2 linked regions of the Yarrowia lipolytica genome follow. The protein of the gene in region 1 binds, or shares a complex with, the protein of each later gene. Links are inferred from orthologs where the notes say so. Each region holds a gene or a part of one and is shown on either strand. Other genes may lie near its edges.

Region 1 (10,139 bases):
GCAGCACATTCAGGAGATGTACGCCAAGCTGCCCTCCGATCTGGAGATTGAGGAGGACAAGAAGGAGGAGTATGACGATTCTTGGGAAAAGGAAATTGTTTACGAGGAGTAAATAGGATAGTTTTGATAGACTTATATGCTAAGATGAACATGGCGCAGAAGGAGGGTAGTCTGGGATCACCAACTGTTTGAGGAACGATCCAGAGTTCAGAAACGCCAAAACCGATGGCACGGGAAGAAAAGAAATGTCTGTAGCAGCAAAACAATATCATGTGGCATTTCTTTTGAGTAAGTATATCGCCACCAAGGGGCTTGTCTCCACTTCGTATTGAATCGTGTGCGTGTAGTGCCCAGCCTTGCAACAACAGTACTATCACCCTCCTTTTCTTCCCATAGGCAATTCTTATCATGTAAACGAGTTTATGGTCTGTAAAAGGTGGCTTCTGAGCATTCATCAATATCTCAAAAAATCTCCGCCTTGTCTACTAAAAGTGTGTGTCCTCTTCTACTACAAGTAGTACCAGTCCCGCCAGTCACCACTGGTGTAGAAAAACCGTGCATAAAGTTTTGCCAAAGTCTAAAAAAATATTGTAAGACGCACGGAGCGATATATCTCTGCCATCCATTTTCAGAACCACACAGTATGGGAAAACGAAGCAAAAGCAGCCGGTCCGGGCGAACCACGACCGCCGGCAAGGTGTTTTCGTCCAAGCGAGCCACGTCGTACAAAAACGAAACCGAGCCCTCCAAGCCCGTACCCAAGTCTCGAGGCAAGCATGCTCTGTTGAACGCCTTTGAAATCGCCGAGGCTGAGGAGCGAAAGAAGGCCCGTAAGAACGGGGAGGAGTACTCCGACGACTCCGAGGATCACGACATTGACGATGTTTACGATGACGGTATTGTTCGGTTCAACAAGGACGGAACTAGAAAGGTGTATCAGCCTGGCGATGAGGAGGAGGAGGAAGACGACTCGGAAATCGACTCTGACGAGGCGTTTGGCTCTGACGACGGCGACGAGGAGATTCTGGACTCTTTCGGCGTCAAGTCCAAGGCCAAGGCCAAGTTCAAGGCCATGGAGGACGAGTACGACTCTGTGGACGAGGAGGAGTTTGTGGATCTTTCCGAGGCCTGGGATCTGGACGATCGTCAGCAGGAGAACCTCAAGAAGAAGAGCGGTGAGAAGGCTGCCCAAAAGGAGGATGCAAAGAAGAGCTCAAAGACCAAGGCTACCACTTCTTTCAATCTTCAGGAGGAGGAGGATGACGAGTCACATGGAGATGATGAGTCTGAGGAGGGAGGATCTGAGCAGGAACAGGATGCGGATTCCGAGGACGTTTCTGACGGAGAGGAGATCGACTCTGATAACGACGACGATTCTGATGACGGTGACGACGACTCTGATGAGGAGGACTCGGACGGATCTGTCTTTTCCGATATCGATACCGAGTTTGATGAGGAGAAGGCCGACAAGCTTCGATCTCTCATTTCCAACATGTACGAGAACGACGAGGATGCTGAGTACGAGAAACGACGACGATACGAGAACAACAACCAAGAGGAAAATGAGTTTGGCGTGACAGTGTCGAAAAAGAACAATGATGGCAAGCTGTCTCTTTCGGACCTGACTTCAGGTGTGGACAAGAAGGCAGCTGCTAGTCTGTCTCTTCTTGGCAAGCCCGACGGCAAGTCCAAAAACAAGCCCCAACATGTGGCTGTGCCTCTCAGTAAACGTCTCCAGGACAAGGTGGAACGTAAGGCAGCTCTTGATCTGACGCGAGAGGAGCTGACCAAGTTCGACGACCTGATTGCCCAGGACGAGGATGCTGAGCATCTGGTTTTCCCCCGTCTTCCCGTCTACGACTCTGATGAGGAGGCCAAGCAGCTGCCCAACACCGGTATTTCTGCGCTGGCCCCCGAGAGTGCTATGGAGAAGAAGATTGCCGGTATCCTCAAGACTTCTGCTCTTGCCGACGAGTCGCAGGCACAAAAGTTTGAGGAGCTGGCCACCAAAAACATGTCTATGGAGGAGCTAGCTGCCCGACGAAACGAGCTTCGACGAATGCGAGAGCTAATGTTCCGAGAGGAGCAAAAGGCGCGGCGAATCAAGAAGATCAAGTCCAAAACGTACCGAAAGATCCACAAGCGAGAGCGAGAACGGCTCCGAGACGCCATGATGTCCGACGAGGAGAGTGACCAGGAGGACCACGACATCAAGCGAGCTCAGGAGCGAATGTCGCTCAAGCACAAGAACCAGGGCAAGTGGGCCAAGCGAATGGTATCGCAGGGTCTGACCAAGGATGCCGAGACTCGAGGAGAGATGGAGGAGATGCTTCGACGAGGTGAAAGTCTGCGAAAGAAGATGTCTGCTCGGGACGACAACGATGGCGACGAGCAGATTGACTCTAATCTGGGCGACGACCAGTTTCTGTCCCAGAACAGAGACGCTCTGGTTGATCCTGATGAGCCTGCTGAGGGAGCTAATCTGGGCAAGGGTCTGCTTGGCATGAAGTTCATGCGAGAGGCTGAGGCTCGTCAGAAGACGGAGAACCAGCAGCGAATCCAGGAGCTCGATCGAGCCAAGGCCAACTGGGAACTTGGGCAGAGTGACGACGAGGACGAAGGTCGAGTTGACACTGCCAACGAGATTCTCAACCAGGGTCGACGAAAGTACGCGCCCGGAACCAAACGGTCTATTGCCGATGTGCTTGCTGTCAAGATTGACTCTGAGCGAAAGGCTGATCTTCAGTCTGATGATGATGAGGATGATAATGACGACAGAGATAACGACAACGTGACTACTGTGGTCAAGAGCGACAAAAAGAAGGAAGGAGGTGCACAGGACGACGATTCTGATTCAGATGACGACGCCTCCAACCCCTGGTTCACCGAAACCAACATCCACAAGAGCAACAAGGTCAAGCCTGTGATGGAGGCTGAGGCTTCTGCACGAGACCGGCTGGCCCACAAGGTGGCCAAGCATCAGAGCCGGGTGGTGGAGAGTGCGAAGAGCAAAAAGGCCCGCAAGCAAGATAACATTCTCATTGACACTTCCGATACTCTTGATCTCGTGACTCAGGATCGAGAGGCCGACACTGACAAGGGTATCTCTTTCAAGCAGGATATGATCAAGCGGGCCTTTGCAGGAGACGATATCGTCGAGGAAGAGTTCATGGCCGAAAAGAGACAGCGAATCGCCGACGAAGGAGATCAGGAAATCGACATGACCCTGCCCGGGTGGGGAGGCTGGGGAGGAGAGGGCATGAAGGCGCCCAAGAAGCGGTTTGTCAAGAAGATCCAGGGTGTGGCCGTCGAGAAGCGTCAGGATCGAGATCTCAAGAACGTGATCATTTCGGAAAAGTCGGACAAAAAGTCGGACAAGTACCAGGTCAAGTCGGTCCCCTATCCCTTCGAGTCTGTCGAGCAGTACGAGGCCTACCTCAAGATGCCCATGGGCCAGCAGTGGACCACGGAGACTACCCACCAGAAGCTCATCAAGCCCCGAGTCATTGTCAAGCCCGGAGCTATCATCAACCCTCTGGATGCTCCTCAAAAGTAGTGTCCTTCATTCTAAAATCTCGTCAGCCATATATAGAGGCTTGGTATATATTTAAGTGTTATGAAGTATGCACACACGTAGTGTGCTAGTGATCGATGCCTATGACTTTGAGTGCTTTAGTCTGGTACAGTACACTCTCATTCTCATCTACTGATCGGAGTAATATAGTTGAACATTTTGTTAAACTATCTGGGGTAGAATGCACACACTGAACAAAGTCACACTTGCGTTACAATGTCTTTGGTTCCCGTCTATATGTTTGCCATTTTTCGGCCACTCATTTCCATTTCCGTATTCATCAAATCATTATTCATTACTGGTCTAACATGTCTACATGGGCCACATTTACAGATCCAAAAGGTTGCCGGTCTCCGCAGGCTTAGAAGCAGGAGCAGGAGTGGAAGAAGACGAAGAAGCGGGAGCGCCCCACAAAGCCTCCTCGTTGGACTTTTGGGCCATGGATGACAACGAGGTTGTGGGCTCGTTCTTCTTGGCCTTGGTAACGCCTGTGGAAGCGGTGCTCCACAGGTTGGAGAAGGCGTCTGCTCCGCCAGATGACTTGGCAGCTGCAGGCTTGGAGGCGGCTCCCAGGCCGGTGGAAGAGGCCGATGCGGGGGTGGACGCGCCACCGAGACCCGAGCCGCCCAGGGCAGGGGTGGAAGAGCTCATGCCGCCAGAGCTGCTCTGGAAAGAGGAAAAGGCAGCGTAGTTGGGACCCGAGGTGGTGGAAGCAGCAGTGAAGGAGCTGTTCATGTTGCCACCCATGAGGTTGTTGCTGTTGGATCCGTTGCTCGCACCAGTGTTGGTGGGGATGTTCTTGAACAGATCGTCGAGGTTGGTGAGTCCGGGCTTGGTGGCAGGAGCAGCAGCAGCAGCAGCGCTGGTGGCAGCAGTGGTGGCAGGAGTGGCCGACTGGAAGTCGTCAAACTCGTCCTCATCATCTCCAGTAGCAGCGGAAGCAGCAGCAGGAGCAGAGTCGAATCCAAAGGGATCGTCGGACTTTGCGGTCTTGGAGGGCACGGGAGGGGGGGCAGACTCGTACTCGGCAGCGTCTCCTCCGGCATCGTACTCCTCGAACGAATCATTGTCGTTGAACTCGCCCGATCCGCTGGCCTCGGCGCTGTTGCCGTACCCGGGTCCGTCGTATTCGGAGCCATCGAAGCCTCCTCCGTCGCCAAAGACACGGCCTCCTCCGTATGCTCCAAATCCGGACGACGAGCCTGAGGTCGAAAACCGGCCCGCCCGCGATCTTCCTCCCATTCCGCCACCGCCCAGCTGGACGGAGTTTGCGGCGTCATTACCAAAGCCACCGTACTTGTTGCCGGTGCCGCCGAAGCCCTTGGTCTTGCTTTTTTGTGCTCGGGCCTTTTTTCGCTCGGCCCGGATTCGAGCAACATCCTTGAGCAGCTCGTTGAGCTCCTTAGCCCGGTTTCGCACGTTGATACCCTGGTCTTTGCCGTTGGCGTCGATGAAGTGAAAGTTCTTGAGCATCTGGATCACTCCTACGTGGGATCGGGCGTAGTCAATGACCCGCTCCGAACCATGCTTGACCAGGTAGTCCAACAGCTGCAGAGCCTTGTAGATCTGGCGCCACTCCTCCGACGTCTTGTCGGTAAACCGTCGGTAGATCATCGACATGATGTCGTGGAACTCGTTGTAGTTGTGGGTGGCATCCGCAATCTCCTGCATGGCTGTGCTGGAGGCTCCCCATGGCTCGTTGTTGGTGGCCTCTCGAACCTTGGCTTCGATGGGCGTGAAGTTCATCACGGCATTCTGGGCCTTGCGCACGTACGCCTTGACGTCGTACAGGGACACGTTGGACAGCTGGTCTCGAATCTGGTCCATCTTACCGCAGAGTGGAGGTGTGTAGTTGCAGAGTGGTGGAGATATTCACTATCGGTATGCGTGGCTTTAATGCGGTAGGGTAACCAACAAGCCTACTTGGGAGGAGATTGGGGGGGTGGGGGATGCAGTTTATGTAGTTGATGAGAGGGTCATTATGGGGTATTTTGGGGGTCACTGTGGTATCGTTTGAGAGCTGAGAATTGTGCGCATCCCGTGGTTGTGGCGGATTTGCATTTTGGGCGATATTGGTGGCGCTGTTGTGGTTTTCACACATTCAACCCGAGCATCATATCAGCACCACTTTCGCCAAGAAGGATTTCATTTTTACAGTGATTCGAATGGATTTGAGGGCTACAATCATTGGTGGCATCGGCCTAACACCGCCAAACAACACCCATCTCTGCCCAGCTCAACTACTTAGTTAGGCTTCTTAACAAAAGCCAAATATACAGTTTATTTCCCCACGGTAAAAAAGAAAGGTGCTGCTACAGACGTTGATTCTGCACCTACAAGAAAGATAGACCTGCCAAACCCAGCTCCCGGTCGCCCTCTCTCATATGACGAACCCCACGCTCCCCTTTTCTCCTCAAATAGCCCCCAAACCCGCCCTCCAAACACACCCCAATCAAAACACCTGCCCTCGCACATTGCCAGCAAAACAACCCTATTTGTCAACTCTGATCTCAACGGCTGAAACGGTTCAGACTAAACGATATGGCGAGGAAATGATAGGCTGGAAACCGACCGGAGAGATCATGGCATGTCTAGTGTTTTTGCCGGTGGTTTCCGGGCTGGTTTGGCCCATAATCTCTCTCGTCCATGTCAACCCAGTTGTTGCATAATCTATAAAATCAATTCCCTCATGTTCTGTATAGGATGAGTCTGTACAGTGACACCATACAATGGGGATTTAATGGCTATATTGAGAATCCATGACTAGAATGGAGGAGTGCTGAGGACTATTCAAAGTGAATTTTATCAGCTATTTCTCGTTACATACTCTCCTGGATTAAATAGCGCCTCTAAAATTCACCTTTTTTCTTTTTTTTCCAATGATTCATTTTTTTCCAATTATTCATTTTTTCCACTCTTTTTTTTTAAATTCTATGACTAATCCGATTTTGGATCAGGTACGTGAAAATTCACAAAACCTAAAGTTGCGGGCGTGTAGCACAGTGGTAGCGCGTGGGCTTTGCATGCTTGAGGTCACCGGTTCGAACCCGGTCTCGTCCACACTTGTTTTTTGCCGTTTCTGGAGGCTTGCGGCTTTTATTTTTGTCCCCTTGAGTATGACTACGACCTGCGGCGGAGACTGGGGGGCTAGTTTTCTTCCGTCATAAAGCACCAAAAATTAAACTAAATTAAATTAAATTATTTATTAAAAGTGCCCCGCAACCTCGTCAACTCAACTACAAGTGTACTGGTTGGTGCTGGTTCTGGTGATGGTCTCAATAATGCAGCCAAAATTTCGACCAACATGAGATTATTTTAACAGAAAGCGTATTGGAATTTCACCACAGTTCCAAAGAACGACCAATGTCTTTTCAAGCATTTTGGACACCCTGGAAAGAAGCCTAGAGACTGACATGACATGAAGCCCCAGCAGACATGACATGAAGCTCCAGCAGACAAGCCCCAGCAAGTCCGTGATGGCGCTGTATGTCAAGAGGAAGATGATGAAAAGCCAAATGACATATGTTTGCTTTTCGTCACCTTCTCATGTTGCTCACCGATCGCCATCTTCTTGACTATAGGAGATTTTGAGCCACGGTCATGGCAACTAATCAAGACTGGAATCTTTCCAGCTGCTAACCACACATCTGCCAGATTCAAGCACGAGTGATTGTAATTCGTCTGAGTTGAGGAAGTACGAGTACCTACCAAGTGTCTATTGGTGCCACCCTTCCGACAACAACATGATATTGTAGAAACACATAGACGAACTGTAGACAAGAGAAGCACACTGACATACCAAAATTACCCTTTAAACAACTATTCGTCTGTCAAGAAACAATTGAAATCCCACATCTGCCAGCCTTTTATCGCGTCTTTATTTATTCTAATGGTCACGTGACTTTCCTATCTCATACTAGTGAAGAGGACAATTTTGGAGCTACACCGTCCGGGCTGTTGGTGTAGTGGTAACATATCTGCCTTCCATCGAGTAGTTAGCAGGTGCCAGGGGTTCAATTCCCCTACAGCTCATTTTTTGCACGTCAATGTTGCACGAGTTGATTGACGTCCATGATATTCTCTTTTGCTTTTTCTCTTGTTTTTTCTCTCGTCCTTTTCTCGTTTTTTCTCTCCTTTTTCTCTGTTTTCTTTTTTCACGTCTTCCTGATTTGGCCAACCTTATCAGCCCCGACTAAGCAATGTTACTTGTATATTTGAAGATGATCTGGGTGGTTTTTGATTAAAAAATCAACGTTGTTGCTTTAGCGGAAGCATTAATTACTATATCTCATGTTTGAAAATGCGATTTTGTTTGCATTTTGCAAGATGGTGCTTTCCGGAGATAACTGGAGATAACAGAAAGGTTCATAACCATAACAAGGACTCCACCTTTTTTGGAAAAATATCACCAAGTTTCGACAGATTTGGCAAAAAGAAATCTCCCGGGGGCGAGTCGAACGCCCGATCTCAAGATTACAATATGATACCATTACAGTCTCGCGCCTTAAACCAGCTTGGCCACCGGGAGGAATTGTGATTTGGCCGAAAAGTTTGGGATTTTGACGGGTCGGAAAAAATAAATTTGAAATGAATCATTAGTGAAAAAACAAACCAAAAAAAATTCATTAAAAAAACAAAGCCCCCTGTAGGCCCCAAGTAGCTGAAAAAAGCTGTGGCAGAATCAGAGAAATCGACACAGTTGGCGACATGAAGTGACCTCCAAGGTCCAAGGTGAAATTCAAGACTAAGACGTAAAAAATTTCCGTAAAAAATTCCAGAGCCAACTGAAAATACAGATCAAGCTTTTGGCTCAGGACGAGAGATGCGCGCGATGAACGGTGCAGAAAAACATTACAGCTCTGGATTGAGTACTTGTACCGAGCGGCTGGGTATTCAAACAGGTAAAAAAGTAAAAAGTAAAAAGTGGACGACACCGGAATCGAACCGGGGACCTCGCGCATGCTAAGCGCATGTGATAACCAACTACACCAGACGCCCTTGATGAGAATTGGAGTCGGTTGCATAGCGGTTCTGGAAATCGTGAAAAAAAACAACGTAATGAATGATTAGAAATAAATAATAAAAAAAAAAAAAAGAATCATTAGAATAAAAAAAAAAAAAAACAACAACAACAAAAAAAACACCAACAACATAACAACCATACACCGAGCTACTCCAACTTCAACTCCCCGATGTCGCAAAGACTCCATCACGATACACACGAATCTTGTTCATGATTCCTATCCGAACTACACATCCTTCTACGATCTTTATGAACAAACTAAACCAACCTCGAGTTTGGATAAGACATGCAACGATGAAATATATGATTAATTGATTTATTTATTGATGTATTTATGTATGTATTTATTTATTGATTTAGTAGTCTTGATTCACTACTATGAGACCGCGAATAGGACAAGGATAAGATGAAACGACGACGAGCCAACAGACATGCCCCTCGAACAATTATTAAATGTATGATTCATTGATCTCCAATAAGCGGCTTCTTGGTATATAGCTGTGGTGAATCATTAGAATAAAAATAAAAATAAAAATATTATAAAAATTACCTTGGACCTCCTTGTTGAAGTCCTATACACAGCTTTGACTCACTATCTAGAAGTACACATGTTTGGTCGGTCAGTTATACGCGCTTATATTCGTACTCGTATCGTCGTACTCGTACATCTCGTCAGTTGATCACCTGAAAAGAGATATATACTTGGGGCTCACTATTAATAAGCGGCCATACACTCCACCCCATCCCAAGATGATGTACCAGAAGAAGGGTATGGAGGTTGGTGCTGGTAAAGAGACAAGCGGATTGAGTTGGACAGGTGCTTGTAGACGAAGGACACCACTGTTGGTTTGTCAATTGGTTGTCAATTGGTTATCAATTGGTTATCAACTGGTTATCAACTGGTTATCAACTGGTTATCAACTGGTTTTGTCAACTGTCTCTCCAGCGTCTAGCTGAGTGACTGATCACTGACCTTTCAGGAACAATGAGGCAAATGACTGGTCCTGTTTGCTTGTGCCACGGCGAACAAGTCGGTCTCTTTCTGAAAGGGACGGACCTTGCCAACTTGCACATCACACAACAGTTGGACGCTTCCCTCTTTCTAACCCGTCTAGAGCCAAAAATGCCCAGAGAACAGCCTCCTATACCGGCTCGAGACAGTGGAGTGAGCTTCAACTCCAACCTTTCCAAACAGCGGTCCTACGCCTATCTCAACCCGTCGGTCAAAACCGCCGCTTACACGTCTTCCACAGCCTCCAGGCACCTTTCCCACAGCTCTCTCAGCAGCCCATCTCCGGTGACGCCTCCAAAACCAGCGTTTTCGGCCAACGAAACACAGCCCTTGCTCCCTTTACAGAACAAAATTCCGCTCGAAAACCTCTCGGAAGACCAGCCTCTCGCATACGGACAGCTTGTGGCACTTCTGTGGCCTGTTTATGGCCAACACAGCTACTTGGAGGCCCGAAGTAGGTACTTGACGCAGTTCAACGAGGGCCCTCGACGAAAACTAGAGTGTGTGCCAGAGGAAGAAAGACCGCGGAA
Region 2 (10,029 bases), on another chromosome or scaffold:
CACGCGTTATTGTATGTTTTTTTGTCTTACTTTTTTTGTGTTTTTCAAAGTGCCCCAGTGGGTTTTGTTTGATCGTTGTATACATACTGCCACCATTCTCAGTGAGGATAAAATATACGAGCGACGAGGTGCCTGGTGGAGCCGTCCGTGAATAATATTTGCGAAAGAAGACCAATGGGGAATAATAAACGGTGTGGCAGGACATTCGTGGATAGAGGCGCAGAATGGCGGAGCAGGCAGCGCAGAATGGTGGAGCGGAGCGCAGAATTTCGAACAAGAGAACAAGAAAAAGAACAATGTACGATATAAATGTTCTAGTGATAAACAACAGTTTTACAGCGGTGAACAATCGCAATGAGTCATCATTGTCTTTACGTAAAGAGTCTTGTGGAAGTTCAAGGGGTGGAGACGTGTAGCTACTTCACCACGCCTGTTGTCTACTGTACCATGACGCTCACTTATTACTATTGCATCGCCAAGAATCATCCCTGACTCAGTATTCGAGTCCAAGTCAGATAAATCTCAACTCGACGGAGTCCCATCTCTTCTACTGGCCAATAATACGCCAAATGTGCTCTTGCGCAGGTCGAAAGAGAATGAACAGAAGCGGCTGACATGTTTTACTAGCATTGGTGCCAGAGATTCGAAGTTAGGCATGTGGATGGTGAGATGATGCTCTGGTGTGTAGTAGTACGAGAGCAGAACCGGCGCAGCATTGAGCTTGTCCTGTTACTGAACTCGGAGGAGAGGCATTGGTGTAGTTTGTACTTGCGGTAAGTGGGTGAATCGAATCGGTATAATCCAATTGTGTAGGATCAACTTTGAATTGGAGCATCATCATTTCCGTCAGCTCTGTCAGCTCGTCAACCCCTCGTCCCCGTCAACTGGTCCACTCGGTCAACCTGATCAACTCGGTAACTCCGCCAACTCCGCCAAATCCGCCAATCCGCCAACCCCTACCGAATATGTTCAGCCACAGTACATTCTTCCTCAACCCTTCAAATGCTCATACAAAGCTAGGATTCTCCAAAACTTCATCTCCACCTTCACTCACTCCCCGGACTCCCACACAGCACGCCAATCAACCAGCATCAGACCACCTCGAGCGTCGTTAACTGACTACAGTATGTACGGCTGCTAATGTTCCACAGGATAGGCCAACTGCGTTCCAAGATTTTGGCCAAAAGAAACGCCGAAAAAGCAACGTTCAAAAAGAAATGCGACACGCGGATTAGATCCAGGTGAGGATCTACACCCAGGCAGTTTCATCCCCATCACTGAGTGTGAGACATGGTAACTACATTTCAGCGGTGCTGCTGATCGTCCGCGATGGATGAGTAAGCTGTATTCCTAGCTTCAGGTGTGGTTATCCAAAATGAGGGTTGCTGAAGGAGACGCAGGAGACGTGATGACGAGGTTACAGAGACAGTGCAGTACCCCCCTTTAAAAAGATTCGAAGCTGTGTCAGACCTTGTTGCGGTGTTGCTGGAGTATACGCATACTTGTACTGCGCTCAATGATACTACTTCTTTCGTTGGCAATGGAGATACAACCAATTGACCAAGAAATAAGTGAGTGCAAGCACCTTCTACCCAAGTCCCGCACTTCACATCTCCATTACCTGTTCCAGGTTAGTCAGTATCAGCTTTGGCGGGAGTTAACGCAGCAATGGGCTCAGTAAGGTACTATCGAGGATACAACAGGTACAAGTATCTCGATATTGTCCGATTAATCTTCAATTTAAAGTCCCGATTCCCCCCTCCCTGTCGTTAGACTGATTTCAATTGGTCTCGTCCACACACAGCACCAGGCATTACTGTATAACGATTACAGAGTATGATATAGACGAGTTATGAGTATTGGTAAGAGACAATATGTTTATTTGAATCACTATTTGTTGTCTTGATGAGATTTTCTGTTCATAAAAAGTCTCTAGGGCTCAGTAGACACTCTCGTGGGTTTCAGCTCCACTTTCTGAACAGGGTCACAGAACACGTTCCAGAGCATATGAAGATATGAGCGTATTATTAATCGAATCCTCCATGCTGTTCAAATCCCGTTGCAAAGCTCTCTTCCTTGTAACATATCATTGGATCGCACAAGACATGGCATTTCACCAACACTCCACCTACAGCACAGAATCAGTTTCAGAAAAGCCACGACGATGGGCTCAATGACAGCAGAGCCTCCAGAGTCGTTATAGAGCACTATCGAACCTCCGTACCCTGCAATATACCCATATTGTCTTGTAAATATACATCCCCAGGTACTGTACATGACAAGTGCAACTACCCCGAACAGTACCTTCTGAAAGAGGATTGAAGCTATCCACTTCACTTTTAACAACAAACCCGCCTATCTCACCTCCACCACTTCACATACTAAACATCATCATTAACTAACACATCATTTGCTGTTTTCTAATCTGGACATGACCTTCCACGTCAACATCGAATCAGAATGCCGGTCCAAGACTCGGCCTATTTACACTCCGCCACTGGTTGATCTCCGCCTGACTTGGTTCGTTCAAAAGTCGTGTTTGATTCAACTAGACCTGTCCATCTTAGTTGAAATCGGAAGCCTGCAAGTTTCGAGTCATGGCAGGCAGGGCGATTCGGATTCCATCCAGATCCTTGGACATACACACCTGGCAGCCCAGACGCGAGGTCTCGGTGAGGCCAAATGCCAGATCCAGCATGTCGTTCTCATCATCATCAGGCTCCTCCAACTTGTCGTAGTACTCGGGGTCCACAATCACGTGGCAAGTGGAGCAGGCACACGATCCGCCACAAGCGCCCTCCATGTCCAGATTGTTGGCCTGTGCAATGTCCAGCAGATTGTCGCCCTCGCACGTGTCAACCTCAATCTGCTCACCGTCCTTGGTGATGAAGGTGACCTTGATTTCCTCGCCAGGCTTGGGCTTGTGCACATGACCGTGGAAAACGGGAGCCGAGGTCTGGAAAAGACGCGTGGCCGGGGCAACGGGTCGGAACGTCCGTGGAACGGCCCGGGAAACCTGCAAAACCTGTCGAGAGAACGTACGGAGCATTATCGGTGGCGTTGAAAAAATGTTGATTTGAATCTTCAAACTGTACACATTTTAAACTCTATCAGAGGAGCTGAGTGGGGGATTAGTCAGCGGTCGAGGGGAAATTGAAGACGTTGATATAATGCTGGATTGGGGTGTTGCTGTCAATGTGGTGAGTTGAATGGTGCAATATATATCGCTCTCGGGTACCTATATCAAGACTTGTGGGTGATATAGCGCCCGAATCCGTTGCTTGATAGGACTAATTGGTGATATCTGGAGCTTGCGGCATGGTGAGCACTCTAAAGACCTCCTCAGATCTCTCTCAGTAGCTTGCTAGCTTTTTTTTGCTTTATCAGAGTTGAAAAGGAGGCATTATGTCTCATTTGGCTGAGTTGGGTGCTTAGTCAGCTTGGTGAATACTGCTCCGATTTGATTTCTGATAGTTTATTTTTGCTCTATATCCGATTACAAGACGAACGCACTCTTTGTAGTGTAAATATAATACCTCTATCACGTCCTGACGGGGGTTTCTACCCAGCCAATAGAAACGCTTACAGTAAGAGAGAAGACTAAAAGGCCCTATAGGACGTCATTTACTGTACAACCAAAGCACGAGTTGCTTGGATATATAATGGGAGTCTTTTTCATGTAGCAGAATTCATCAAATAAAAATGGGCTTTGATCTGATCTTCCTCCGAATTACGAAAATACTATATATAATAACAAAAAACGGCTTTATTATCCTTTCCTGAGACACGCTTACATGTGGGGTCACCCACAGGTCGGTAGTAGGCGCATCTGGATGTGGTTGTGCACAGTACTGTATGTACAGTACGCAGTACGTTGGGGGATGTGTCGACAGGTTATGAGCTAGGGTGGGTGATTGAGTGATTGCGACATTTGTACGACACTTGTGTTTGAACTGAACTTGTACTTGATCTATACTTGACCTTCTAGTTGACTCTAACAGCACTATAAACTATTTTCGAATGCCCTGAACAAAAGCGGTTTGGTCACAAAGAATCAATCAAAAGCGCTCGATCTCTTATGGCCATTCTTCTCGCGGCGGATACAGATGCACAATTGTCAGTCTACTTGCCTTTCTCGTACAGTTCGTACTCGTACCTGACCGGACATGCACGGTTGTGGCGCCTTCTCACATACAAGGAACCACCGTATAGGGGGTCCATAAGCGACCCCTTCTCGTACCCAACTTGACCCTGCGTTCCCGTCGCATTTGCAGCCCGTATACATAGCTCCACGAAAACCAAACGGCTTTTGTCCTTGTCGCGCGTACAACTCCAGTTTCCGGCGTCTGCAGGTGTCGGCGCGCTTCCTGGAGGCATAGATGGCCGGAAAAAGAGCGCGCAGAGCTCACTGAGCAAATCCCGCAACTCTCAAAGCGGCTGCCATGTCTATGTGCCAAGGAGCGAGTCCCGGCTGCGTTTCTTTTGTGTCCAACCGGAATCTCCGAATCCACTCCGACTACCTGCGTCTGTCGAGTATAGGGCAAACGAAGCGGCTAAACGGTTTTCTGCCTTGTTGCTTCAAGTGTGTCTGTCGTCCAGCGGGATTTTGGTCACGCGCACAAGGTCTCGTGACCCCTTAAGACAGTTGTGGGCCTTCAGATACCGCTATGAAATGTTGTAGAAGACTGCATATACTGGGCATGATGATTGGCTGGATGAAAAGAGATCTGGAACTGTCATGCAGGTCCAAAGCAGATCGAAAAGAAAAAAAAAATTGAACAAATGAACTCTCTTTGCTTTATAATGTCTGTCTTGGTACTGTGAGCTCTCCTGTATGTGCTGTACATTTCTCCTCATCGTAGATTTCGCTCAGCCGTTAGTCCATGGTGACCATGTTCGGTTAACTAATGGTGTAAGTAAAGTTGTTTAATTACTTAGGTGAATTCAACTAAATATATATTGGCGAAACTGCACTCAAATTGTCCAAATTGAGAAAATGGAGTTTCATACACCGTGGGACCCGCTATGGAGCGCATCTTATGGCTCTCGGCCTTCTTATTATCACCCTCAAAAATCCTGAAAATCAGCCCGCGTAGGAATCGAACTGAGCCCTAGCCCCGCACACCGCTATCACGCACTATCCACTATCACGCATACTGTATTCTAGCCCCCGCCACGACATCATGGAAGCGAGCGAACTATACAAGAGCTACGAGACGGACTTTCTGCTGGCGCAATCCGAGATTGAGCAGAAGCTCGAGAGCATTTCGACGCTCGAGCGAGGTGAGTATGGGCGAGCCAAGGGCGCAACCTCGACAATGACGTGGTATTTGATCGACAAGGAATGACATGAACAAGTGGCATTCGCAATGTTTTCGACTGCTGATATCTGGCAGGTGACGTATTCTACCACGAGATTGCTGTTTGGCAGTCGTCGACAGATGCTGCCCAGCGGTGCATCTTTCACTATTGGTGACAAGAAACGCTGATTGAACGGCTATAGCCCTTTGGAATTCGGGTATTCTGTTATTCACGACTGTGAAATACCAGACAGTGAATCATGGTCCTGTCACCATCAACTTTTTCCTGCAGGCGCTCGATTGAACTTCAACCACTCCTGAAGAAGTTCATGGGGGACACAAGTAATTGCTTTCTGTTACTCCAGTGATACGGTCCGTTCTCATGTCTACACGGGTCTTAACTTGTCAATTTCCAGTACTAACACAGACGCCCGAACATCTGCCGTCAAGGCCGTTGAGCGAACCATTGGCGAGGCCTACGAAATTGTGAGTATCGAAGGGGGATATTTGGTCGATACAAACGACATACTGGTTAAAAATGGATCTGGTTTTTTGGACCGGTCTATTTAACAGTCTTAATGATCCGGCTGGACTACAGACACGACGCCCAACAATCTCCTCATCCCTACTAACTCAGCTTGACCAACTCTCGGTTGAAATCCAAAACATCCCCTCGTCTGCGCGAGCACCTTTGTCTGCCAACCTGCGACAGTATCGACAGTCAATCCAGTCTGCTAAGAAGCAGCTTGCCAACGTGGAGCAGGCTGGCGCTCGAAATGAGCTCTTTGGAGACAGATCGGCGGCCGGCGACGGCGACATTGCTCTCGACCAGCGACAGCAGCTTCTGTCTGGCCAGGAGTCCCTCGACCGAAGCTCGCAGCGAATCAGAGACTCGCAACGAGTGGCCAACGAAACTGAGTCCATTGGAGCCAACATTCTGACCGACCTGCGGGGCCAGCGGGAACAGATTCAAAACTCGAGAAACACATTGCTGGAGGCAGATGGCTACGTGGACAAGAGTATTCGGACTCTGCGGTCCATGACCCGTAGGATGGCTATGAACAAGGTGTTGACCTACCTGATCATTGCTGTGTTGGTGATTCTCATTCTGCTGGTTCTAGCCAGCAAGTTTTGGTAGACGGTAAATGACGTAATGTTGACTATAATTATTAATGAAAGGGTGTATCCAATGCAAGTTGGTGATGGTAGTGCGTTCTATGGCGGGTAGGAAGTGGAGAAGAACGGATACTGGTAGCTCTTCCAAGACGTAGAGTCAAGCAAACGCCAGTCTCGCTTCATTGACACTCACTCTGAGTAACCCTGATACTTGTACAGTTGCTGGCTTCTAAATCTTTCGAGAATGGTGGTTCCATACATGCTCTTGCTCTAGACCTTGCAGCAACAGTAAGAAGTTGGCTACAGTACTGCAGATAACACGTTCGAGACTTGGCAGTTGTTCGCGACTTTGTCGTCTAATGAATATTTGCTCTAGTATTGACACTTGCGCTATTCCGTCTTGGTCTAAATTAATGTGTATTTGAAATAGGACCTAATGAACAGCATGGAGCGGTCTAAAACCAAGCTAAGGACCATTGTTAGGAGATTGGAAAGTTGACTAAGGGGGAATAAGAGGTCCAATGACTTATGAGAGGTGTTTTCTTTCTTTACAAACAACCAATTGTGTGAGTTGTTGTGTCTGCACAGGCTGGCCAGTGGCGTGTCTCAGACAATCAGACAACCATAATCAAAGGCATGTTGGTTCAAACCTACGACTTTTAGTCAATACTGTAAATAAGCAAACAAATAAACAGCGGTGCTATGTGGACTGGGTTATACTGGTTATTGTTTGGCTGGTGATGTCAACGCAAGTAAGGACTTGAGCTTGTGGTGTGGAATATACAAGTATGTACTGTACTTGTTTTTCCATAACCGTCCCACAACAGCCAGAGTCGGTACAGCATCGAGGGAGTCAAGGTCTAGCTTGTAGAATGAACTCACAATCCATGGAGCCAGTTGAGTACTTGTAAAAGTACTTGCAAAGACCCAATGACTTGTGAAGGGTGCAATGTGAAGCTGACGGCTGCACTCGTTGTAATGGCTGCATGCGGGTCTCAATACGGGCTTTTTATGGCTTTTAATGCCGCCAAAATATTATCAGGGCTATACTTATAGTATATTATCGGCTCCTGTATTGCTTTTGGGAAGAGTGATAGGGATGGACATAGCGAGAGGGGACCGGATCAACCCAGTCCAGGACATAGAAGACAAATGGAACCACACCGACTGAGAGTCTCCACCTTCTGTATCCAAGAGCTTGCCGGTATATTCTCTTGGCACGTGACTGTCTTCGTCGAGATCATCTCCAACGTCATGTCCAAGCTTAACAAAAGTACTTCCAACTTAGTTATACTCAGGTGAGAGCATACCTAAAAAGCCATTAAAAAAGCAGAAAAAAAAAGCAGAAAAAAAAAAAAAGCAAGTCCATAAAATGCCTTTTCCGAGGGCTCCTGTACAGTTAGACACTCCAACAACGATGAGGGGGGGGGGGGGGGGGGGGGGAAAGAAGCCAAAAACAAAGGCCGAGGCCCATTCCATCCAACCTACCGACGATATTCCTGCCAAAAGTAACCCACAGAGCATTACCTCAGACAAGTACTGTAGTCCTTTAAGCTGCCCTGACCAATTCTCACTCAGCGAAGAGAGTTGATTGGTTCATAGAGAGGCTTGGTTGGCAGTTGCGGGCTCGTTGATTGACAGTTGGAAGTGAGATAGAGCTGAATAATAGCTGACAGGATCGTGTTAATAACTAACGATAACGATTGAAGTGTAGTGGATATTTGTGGTGTCCCTGTGGTGTCCCTGAGGTGGTTGGTTCGAATAACTGAGTCGGAGCACCATGATGAGCGCTACCAAGTCGTGTGTATCATGGAGTTGCCCGGAGCAGAGCAAGCTCTCAGAGGACACAAACTTGTTGTTTCGAGCTGTAGACAGAACTTGAACGTGGTTCTGGATGTGATAAGTATCGCACAGAATGTTGGGGGCACCGTCGACAAAAGTCAACGACTTAGGAAATCGTCTCTGTAGGGTATTGGATGACGTGGAGAGTCCTCAAAGAGACTCGTAGGGTGACTTATCCCCACCAAAATGGTCTGATATTCGTGACGACCTGTTCCAATCAATGATTTCTTGTGCCCGTTAGATATTCCCACCAACTGCTGTAGTTGCACATCAACTTCTGCAGTAGTTGACATTATGCACAAGTCAAGTATTGCTCCCAACTTCCGAGCCCAAAAGCCAACTACTCGCAACCATATTAGAAGACTTCTCTACAAAACTCGCCACCGGAAAAACAGCTCATGAAAAGCCACTATTGACCTTGAAAACCGCATCTGCGACCCAAAATCAGCTTCTGGGCCATGAAACCAACTCACACAGCCTCCTCCACCTTATACAAGACCCCTTGCCGAGGACTCAACGCTCCGTCACCGTCTCTGACGCATAGTATCATTGTGGAGGGTAGAAGAGGGTGTGTGAGAGTCATTCTAAGCAACAGATGCTGATGGTGACGAGTCAGTGAGGTCGACATGGTCGTTGCGAAAGCAATTGATAGTTGAAAGTACAGAGCATTCGTTATCCACGACTACACTGACATGACACAGACAGTCCATGATCACCCACACACTCAACACACCAGCAACAACACTCACCCGTGTTCCATTACTCGCCCAATTGAAGGCCGCCCTTCAGACCACACTCTTCACGTGGCGCGAACCTACACAGACAACCGAGCTGGGATCACATCCCACGAATTGATGACGGTGATGGCTGATCCATACAGAATCATCCTCTCTCTCGTCACAATCTCAGGCTACTTCCCATCCATCCATCCCACATATCACCCCAATCACAGATCACCCCGACCACAGATCACATCCATCACACCACACTAGATCATGTCAATACGCCAGATTCCTCCCCGCTCACTACCCGGCAGTCATTCGCCATAAATACAATAATATTACAATGCTTCAATAATGTGGACAATCTTGTCCACGACTTTTTCGAAAATCGAGTCGTCTCCTCGAACCACCACCAGCTTGCCCTGGCCTCTCAACTCCACTGCCGACGACTCCAACTCGGAGCCCTCAGCCTGCAGATAGATGAGAATGTCGGGAGCAGGAAGCCCTCGAAGCAAATTGGCACTGGACATCCATTCCTCGAGATACGACGAGGCCGAGGCCGAAGACACACTCTCAGAGACGGACGCTCGAGACATGAGTGGGTCATGTGAGACGGAGCCGTGGTGGTGGGGAGAATCACGTGAGATGGAGCCGCGCGACTCGTGGGCCAGCTCAGCCACACGCGTCTCGTGTTGGTGATGCGACGTCACGTGGGGATGCGCGTTGTGCACAGGGTCATGTGACACACTTTCACGTGTCGGGTCACGTGTGGCCGAGGTGGGCTCATCTCGCGAGAGCTCGTGCTCTGCGCCAGCATGAGGAGCAATCGCCACGCTAGGCGAGCGTCCACTTCCTCCTACGCTCGCCGGCGATCCACTCTCGGACTCCTCGGGGATCACAGAGGTGTCTCTCTTCCATCTCTCCATGGCTTCCGATTCGTGTTCTTCCGAGTATGTCGACGTGTGGCTTTGTCGCATCAAGTGCTCCTGAACAAACTTGTCGGCAATCGTCACGAGATAGCCATGTAGCAGGACAACGCCAGGCTGAGA

The links. The genes of interacting proteins can lie anywhere in the genome.
Region 2: the proteins of YALI1_D16609g (region 1) and YALI1_B03335g are in contact, whole or in part, in a crystal structure (PDB 3ONL), measured with the Saccharomyces cerevisiae proteins. The link is inferred for Yarrowia lipolytica from reciprocal best matches to the Saccharomyces cerevisiae genes ENT3 and VTI1. Residues at the interface, in NP_012659.1 of Saccharomyces cerevisiae: Asp53, Ser56, Gln57, Thr59, Tyr60, Asn61, Phe62, Glu64, Arg65, His100, Gly101, Ser102, Glu103, Arg104, Arg154, Arg157, Lys158, Arg161; in NP_013924.1 of Saccharomyces cerevisiae: Leu31, Asn35, Thr36, Leu38, Lys39, Glu42, Gln43, Gln45, Asp46, Asp50, Lys88, Gln92, Leu94, Val95, Asp96.

The regions. Positions count from the first base shown.
Region 1 is NC_090773.1:1,656,164-1,666,302, reverse strand, and holds YALI1_D16609g (uncharacterized protein), read right to left. Parts: upstream 5,402-10,139; coding exon 3,902-5,401; downstream 1-3,901. Other genes in the region: YALI1_D16672g (uncharacterized protein), read left to right, coding at 1-112; YALI1_D16656g (uncharacterized protein), read left to right, coding at 644-3,556; YALI1_D16567g (uncharacterized protein), read left to right, coding at 9,583-10,139. UniProt on the Saccharomyces cerevisiae protein: Involved in the recruitment of clathrin to the Golgi network and endosomes to form clathrin coated vesicles. Plays a role in the trafficking of clathrin between the Golgi network and endosomes.
Region 2 is NC_090771.1:328,387-338,415, forward strand, and holds YALI1_B03335g (uncharacterized protein), read left to right. Parts: upstream 1-5,183; coding exon 5,184-5,283; intron 5,284-5,727; coding exon 5,728-5,786; intron 5,787-5,937; coding exon 5,938-6,438; downstream 6,439-10,029. Other genes in the region: YALI1_B03288g (uncharacterized protein), read right to left, coding at 334-488, 533-617; YALI1_B03290g (uncharacterized protein), read left to right, coding at 670-764, 814-1,141; YALI1_B03299g (uncharacterized protein), read left to right, coding at 1,541-1,677, 1,747-1,840; YALI1_B03314g (uncharacterized protein), read right to left, coding at 2,564-3,049; YALI1_B03324g (uncharacterized protein), read left to right, coding at 4,079-4,236, 4,288-4,681; YALI1_B03404g (uncharacterized protein), read right to left, coding at 9,319-10,029. UniProt on the Saccharomyces cerevisiae protein: t-SNARE found in various SNARE complexes involved in multiple transport pathways. The composition of the t-SNARE complexes is specific for a limited number of v-SNAREs and therefore allows only the vesicles carrying the matching v-SNARE to fuse.